Macaca fascicularis: one gene and its partner. The protein of the gene in region 1 purifies or fractionates together with the protein of each later gene. This does not show direct contact. Links are inferred from orthologs where the notes say so. Each region holds a gene or a part of one and is shown in the gene's direction. Other genes may lie near its edges.

Region 1 (4,108 bases):
TTCAGTTTGCTGTGCTAGGCTTTACAAGTTGCTATGAATACTCTTTTACATATCTTTCTGTTACTATTGGCCTTGGAACCATCCGCTTTCTTTAGAAGACTGTGTACTTCTACTTTTAATCAATTTTGCATTTATCTTGCAGTTACTCTGAGGGAAACTTTGTTTTCCTCATTCTGGCATTCTTAGTTAGCAGTTTACTGTAGCCCTTTGAAAATATGCTGACATCACCTTAGATAATTCATTCACAGAAACTATTAAATTAACACAGTAATGCCAATTAACTGTCTCTGTAGAGCTGTTTTCTGTTCCTTAGAGGCCCCACAGAAACCTCTGACATATTGTGGGTGATATGTAAGAGATTTTATAGTTCTATGACATCACATAATTTCTTTTTCCATAAAATTGTGTTGGTGTTCCCTAAGTATCTTAAATTGAATTAACTCTAAATAAATATATAAGAACTCTAGTGGCATAAGAAAAAAAGGAAGTACTACTTCTATCTCAAATAGGTGAAGCCATTACTCATTTCAATGTCCACTTTCAATTGATCAGTTGATTTCAGCCCTCATTACACTGAGGGTCTAAATTCTTTTCACTAAAGGAGCCTGCCAGATTTAACAAATAAAAATAGAGGACACCATGTTAAATTTGAATTTCAGATAAATAATAAATAAAATTTTAGTGGCAATATATCTAATGTAATATTTGAGACCTACTCATACTAAAAAAAGTATTCATCCTTCATCTGAAATGCAATTAACTATGCATACCATATTTTATCTGGCAACCCTATATCGATTCTACCAGTTAGAGCACTCAAGGTTTCCCTCAAGCTGCTCGATTTAAGATATTTCTTGTATGTCAAAAAGTCACTAGCTGTGGGACACTTAGCTAACTTTTCACTGTTCTTGCCTACATCTTCATTTTATAGAGTACATTACCTTCAAGCAAAACACTGAGAGGCTTCTAAAAACTATTTTGCTTAAAGAGGATCACTTTTGCTCATGGTTCTCTAATAAGAACATTTTCCAAGGTGCAGCAAGTTTCATCTTCAAAAACCCGCAGCTACTCACAGTGTAAGATGCCTGTCGGGGTGGGGCTCTGGGCCTGGGAAACCTAGAGCAATCTGGATGCTGCGAGGAGGCGAGCAGGTAAGAAGCTTTCTGAACCTCATGGGATCCCATACTGGCAACTGCCTTGGCAGAATAGTTTATTGTCCCCTTTAGCCAATCAGATTGGCGTTTGATTGCCACGCGCTTACTTCCTTCACGACCATCAGTCCTAACCGCAGGCCAACTTTCTTCCCAGAGCTTTTAGGGGCCTGGCCTTTGCAGTTCCAGATCAACTACAGCAAAGATCGTTCGAGATGTCCCACCAAGAGGGAAGCACAGATGGCTTACCAGACTTAGGGACTGAAAGCCTGTTCAGCAGCCCAGAGGAGCAGTCTGGAGCAGTGGCGGCGACAGAGGACTCCTCAGACATTGACATAGCGACCTCAGAGCAGAGTGTGACAATGACCGGAGATGACAGTGATACCAGGGATGGTGGATTCCCCAACGATGTCGGCACAGAAAATCGAAGCTCAGACCGAGAAAGTGCAAGTGAAGACATCGAACTTGACAGCATGGAGGACTTTGAGCATTTCCTCATGAGTGGTGAAAGTTTATTCCATTACCCTTTGGTGGGAGAGGAGGAGACAGAAAGGGAGGATGAAGAAGAGGAGATACAGGAGGAGGGAAGGGAAGAGGCGGAGGGAGGGGAGGAGGCGGAGGAGGAGGAGGAGGAAGAAGAACAGCCTCGGGCGGGTCCACAATGCAGTGGTGCCAACCATGAGCAGTACTTGTTAGAGGAGGATCGGGCGCTGGAGGAGTGGGTTTCCTCAGAGACATCTGCCCTGCCCCTACCTCGCTGGCAGGTCGTTACTGCTCTTCACCAGCGGCAGCTGGGTTCACGTCCCCGCTTTGTATATGAGGCCTGTGGGGCAAGAGCCTTTGTGCAGCGTTTCCGCCTGCAATATCGTCTTGCAGACCATGTCGGTTGTGTCAATACTGTACACTTTAACCAGCGTGGCACCCGGCTGGCCAGTAGCGGTGATGATCTAAAGGTGATAGTGTGGGACTGGGTACGGCAGAGGCCAGTACTCAACTTTGAAAGTGGTCACACAAATAATGTCTTCCAGGCCAAATTCCTTCCTAATTGTGGTGATTCCACCCTGGCCATGTGTGCCCGTGATGGGCAGGTACGGGTAGCAGAACTAATTAATGCATCATATTTCGAGAATACTAAGTGTGTGGCCCAGCACAGGGGACCTGCCCACAAGTTGGCTCTGGTGCCTGACTCTCCTTCTAAGTTCCTCACTTCAGGTGAAGATGCTGTTGTCTTCACCATTGACCTCAGACAAGACCGGCCAGCTTCAAAAGTTGTGGTAACAAGAGAAAAGGATAAGAAAGTGGGACTATATACAATTACTGTGAATCCCGCCAATACCTACCAATTTGCAGTGGGCGGACAAGATCAGTTTGTAAGAATTTATGACCAGAGGAGAATTGATGAGAAAGAAAACAATGGAGTGCTCAAGAAATTCACTCCTCATCATCTGGTTAATTGTGTTTTCCCAACAAACATCACCTGTGTTGTGTACAGTTACGATGGCACAGAGCTTCTGGCCAGCTACAATGATGAAGATATTTACCTCTTCGACTCCTCTCACAGTGATGGTGCTCAATACACTAAGAGATTTAAGGGGCACAGAAATAATACCACAGTCAAAGGTGTTAATTTCTATGGCCCCAGGAGTGAGTTTGTAGTGAGCGGTAGTGATTGCGGGCATATCTTCTTCTGGGAGAAATCATCCTGCCAGATCATCCAGTTCCTAAAGGGGAACAGAGAAGGTACAATAAACTGTCTTGAACCCCACCCTTACCTACCTGTGCTGGCGACCAGTGGCCTAGATCATAATGTGAAGATCTGGACACCCACAGCTAAAGCTGCCACTGAGCTTACTGGATTAAAGAAGGTGATTAAGAAGAACAAGTGGGAACGAGATGAAGATAGCTTGCACCATGCCAGCCTGTTTGACCAGTACATGCTTTGGTTCCTCATGCGTCACCTGACACAGAGAGGTCATCACCGGGGCTGGAGAAGTGGTGAAGCCGAATTTCCAGATGAAGAATCGGATGAGTCTTCCAGCACCTCAGAGACATCCGAGGAGGAGGGCCAAGACCGAGTGCAGTGCATGCCATCCTGAAGGCCTCATACCCAGTCCAGCTAGATGCCACCTAAGTACACTGGACTTTAAAATTCAGTTTGACTAATTTAGAATTGTCAATAGATTAATAGATTTGCTTTTTGTCTTCTAATTTCCACAATATATGCTGAAAACCATCTCTTCCATTCCTTCCTCTCTGCTTTCCTTTCTTTCTTCCATACATTCCTTCTCTCATTCCTTTCCTCTTGGTTTCTTTATGCCTCTTTTGTTACCCCTTATTCTTACATGAGTGCATACGCAACTTATTTATGCCTCTTTTCCCTTGTTCCCTTATAGTTGACCTCTAGATTTTCTGAATTTTGTTGAAAAAATTAATACCCTTATTAGATGCATCTACTCAAATCTGACATTCTGAAAACAGTTACCTTTTTACTTTTTTTCATCTTTAACAATTTTTTCTGAAGATCAAGTTCTTCAGTTAACCTGAAAATTTCAGAAATATGTTTCTTCTTTAGAAGTAAAATAAGACAAACTATAGTTTTGTTCTGTCGATACTGACACTTGGCTGCACACACACAGTCTCAGAAAAGGAAAAGAGAAGTAGTGTGCAGATTAATTCCTAACACTTGGCCATGCACACACACAGTCTCAGAAAAGGAAAAGAGAAGAAGTAGTGTGTAGATTAATTCCTAACCAGATAATTCATTCCCTCAGAATAAATAACATGAGATTGTCTACATTTTCTGAATCCATATATTAATTTTTAAAAATTTGAGTACACTGTAGCTGGTAAGAATTAAATTAAATTTGATCACATGACATTGTTTACTCTGCGCATTAAGTTTTCTTAAAGTTTTAAGGTTGGGAACTCCTACAGGGTTACCTTCCAGGAAGTCCTCC
Region 2 (3,500 bases), on another chromosome or scaffold:
AAGTACAAAAAGTTTGTGTCAGTAGATCAGAATGTAACTGAGAGAAATAAACATTTGGAACTCTAGGTAAGAATTGTAGGCCGGGTGCGGTGGCTCAAGCCTGTAATCCCAGCACTTTGGGAGGCCGAGACGGGCGGATCACGAGGTCAGGAGATCGAGACCATCCTGGCTAACACGGTGAAACCCCGTCTCTACTAAAAAATACAAAAAAAAAAAAAAACTAGCCGGGCGAGGTGGCGGCGCCTGTAGTCCCAGTTACTCGGGAGGCTGAGGCAGGAGAATGGCGTGAACCCGGGAGGCGGAGCTTGCAGTGAGCTGAGATCCGGCCACTGCACTCCAGCCTGGGCGACAGAGCGAGACTCCGTCTCAAAAAAAAAAAAAGAATTGTAATTATAGCCCCACCGTATGTTTGCACACATCTTTAAACCACCTCATTTGTGTGGACATCGGGCCCATTGTGGGCAGAATCTGAGACTTTGTGAATTGGATGACTGTTCACTGTTTTGTGCTCTAACCTGGCTGCCTCTCAATAGTTACCATAAAGCAAGTATTTAGAAAATCTATGAGAGTTTTTCTAATTGAGGTATGGTTTTAGAAAACCCTTATAAACATTAAAAATCTAAAACACTGAAAACTTTTTTAAATGCTGTGTTAAATACTTCAAAATATCTGATGATATTTTTCTCTTATAGTTTAGGTGTGAATAAATTTAATCCACTATAAATTAGATTTGATAGCTTGTCCTTTTACATTGTCTGGCTGATGGACTAAATTAGAAGTATATTGGGAACATGAACCTCCCAGGTTAAATAGTTGGTGTAAACTGGATTTTCTGACTTGCTAACTTTAGTGAAATAAGAGGGCTTCAGTGACATGAAGAAGTAAATACATCTTCCAACATGCTCAGAAAAAATGAGGTTCACCTAATAGGATCCATCTCAGATATTTAACCAGATCAACCTTCTCATATACAGGCAGTGATGTGTAGAGCCGCCCAGTTTCTAAGCGGTGTATTGGCGTTCTTACCCTGCACGCTGTATTCTAGTTGAGTTATTGTTGTTAATGCTGCCCATGCTGTACTCTGCTGACGTGTACTGCACATCTCAGGGCTTGACCACTTACTGGACGAGAACAGAGTGCCGGACCTCGCGCAGATGTACCAGCTGTTCAGCCGGGTTAGGGGCGGGCAGCAGGCGCTGCTGCAGCACTGGAGCGAGTACATCAAGGTACTGGTGGGGTTTCGAGGCCGCAGGCGCGGGCGTTTCCTGCAGGGAGCAGAGCCCCTCCTGAGAACACCCAGTGCCCTGACAAAGGGAACTGGGCTGCTGGAGGGCCGGTTGGCATTTTCATCATAGATGATAGGGTGGATGGTAGTGTTCTATCTGCTTCCCCATCACCAGTGTGAATTTGCTTTTTAAGATAACACCAGCAGTGATTAGCACCATCCAGGTAGAAAGTATAACTTAAAGATCAACAGTTTTGCTCTTCTTCATCAGCGTAAATATTGGTTTAATTCTAAATCATGATTTTTCTGAAAGTAATCATTTTTGTAAATCTGCTTGTCAGACAAGATCTCCTCATGCCCTTAGCTCAGTGAGAACTATTATCTATTTGGCATATTAGGTAGCTTTATAGACTTTATTTCTTAACAGACCAAATTTAGGATTTGTTACTTAAACTTTCGCTTTCATGTTTCGAAAGCATTTCTTTGGCATCCCTGACAAGCCCAATCTAACCCGTCATAGAGTGGCTTCTTGGGCAGTACCCTGAGTTTTCACGTGTCCTGCCCAGGAGAACAGCCCCTCGGTGCTGACATAGGACCTCCCTGAAGACTAGGGGCTCTCGGCCCAGGGCACCACCCCACCAAGGGGACACTTGTTGATGTGTGGAGACGTTTGTGGCTGTCTGAACAGAGAGGGTACTGCTTGCTCTGCTGGGCAGCCCCGGGGTGCTGCTGAATGCACGAGGCAGCCCTCACCACAGAGAATCACCTGCCCAGAGTGCCAGTGTTGCCCAGCCCAAGAAACCTACTGAAGACCCTCTATAATGAGAAGCCATTCTCCAGATGCCCCTTACAGAAACAGGAGAACTGAGGTAAACATCAGGGCCCCTTCACAGATAACTCGTGTTTTCAGTATGTGCCAGTTGCATGAATTTTCCAGCTTAAATGGTGAGCGTTTAGCAGGAGTCTGTGTGTGTGCTTGCTGGTGACTATTCTTAGATCCCAGAATGAAAAGATAGATAAAATTTCCAGAGAATTACGCTGAGAGAAAAAAAAAAAAAAGCCAATCGCAGATACTTAACATGTTATTGCATAACATTCTGGAAATGGCAAAATTTGGAAATGGAGGACAGATGAAAAGTTACCGGGGTGTAGGGATGGAGCGGGGTGTGTGGTTATAAAAGGCCCCAGGAGGTAGCCTTCTGCAGGAACTGTTGGGGTTTTGGCCGAGGTCTAGATGTGCACACCCAGATGAGTTACAAGTCAACTGGGCCATCTGAAAAAGACCTGGGGGGTTATCAGTGTCAGTATCCCGGTTGAGATACTGTTCTGTAGTTTTGCAAACTTGCCATTGGAGGAAACTATGGAAAACAAAGATACTGGGATTGCTTTGCTATTTTTACTATTATGCAGCACTTTCATTATCTCATAAGATTTCCATTAAGTAAAAAAGATAAATGAAAGCATACGTGCTGCTTTATGGAATAATCAGACCTCAAGTCACGTATCAGTCCAGCTATGCAAAGCCGGCACACCTAGCAGCTCTCCCCACAAGGTCTTGTACAGCGACGTTGAATTGGAAGTTACAACTGAGTCACACTAAATTGGCCATAAAGCTACTGAAGATTTAGGTTTTTTGCCAGTGAGACAGTCTTCAGGGGATGAGAATATGTGCTAAAAAACTAGGAAAAGTTCACCTTTGCAATTTCCAGTCTGGGTAATAAAAATCAGTGAGTGACCGTCACCCCTGAGTGTCAGCAGTAAGCAGTTATGCTATAACAAAATAGTGGTTTCCATTCAACTCCACATGCCGTTATCAAAGTAAAGCTGTGCCCTTTCTGTTGGCATCTTTTTTTTTTTTTTTTTTTTTTTTTTTTTTTTTTTGAGACAGAGTCTCGCTCTGTCATCCAGGCTGGAGTGCCGTGGCATGATCTCAGCTCACTGCAACCTCCGCCTCCTGGGTTCAAGCATTACCCTGCCTCAGCCTCCTGAGTAGCTGGGATTACAGGCTCCCGCCACCACACCCAGCTAATTTTTGTATTTTTAGTAGAGACGGGGTTTCACCATATTGTCCAGGCTGATCTTGAATTCTGGACCTCGTGATCCACCCGCCTCGGCCTCCCAAAGTGCTGGGATTACAGGCATGAGCCACAGCGCCCAGCCTTCTGTTGGCATCTTTCCACCGGCCAGCTACCTCGTGTGTGTGTGTGACGTGTGAGTGCACGTGTGCATTGTATTGAGACACATTTTTTAAATCCAATAATTGTATTCAGTTCCT

What was found.
Region 2: the proteins of DDB1- and CUL4-associated factor 8-like protein 2 (region 1) and CUL4A purify together in Homo sapiens (affinity purification with western blotting; 3 studies listed by BioGRID and IntAct, with this or other methods). This does not show direct contact. The link is inferred for Macaca fascicularis from reciprocal best matches to the Homo sapiens genes DCAF8L2 and CUL4A.

The regions. Positions count from the first base shown.
Region 1 is NC_088395.1:27,734,689-27,738,796, forward strand, and holds the start of DDB1- and CUL4-associated factor 8-like protein 2, read left to right. Parts: upstream 1-1,308; 5' UTR 1,309-1,366; coding exon 1,367-3,247; 3' UTR 3,248-4,108.
Region 2 is NC_088391.1:103,655,873-103,659,372, forward strand, and holds part of CUL4A (cullin-4A), read left to right. Parts: intron 1-1,107; coding exon 1,108-1,226; intron 1,227-3,500. UniProt on the Homo sapiens protein: Core component of multiple cullin-RING-based E3 ubiquitin-protein ligase complexes which mediate the ubiquitination of target proteins. As a scaffold protein may contribute to catalysis through positioning of the substrate and the ubiquitin-conjugating enzyme.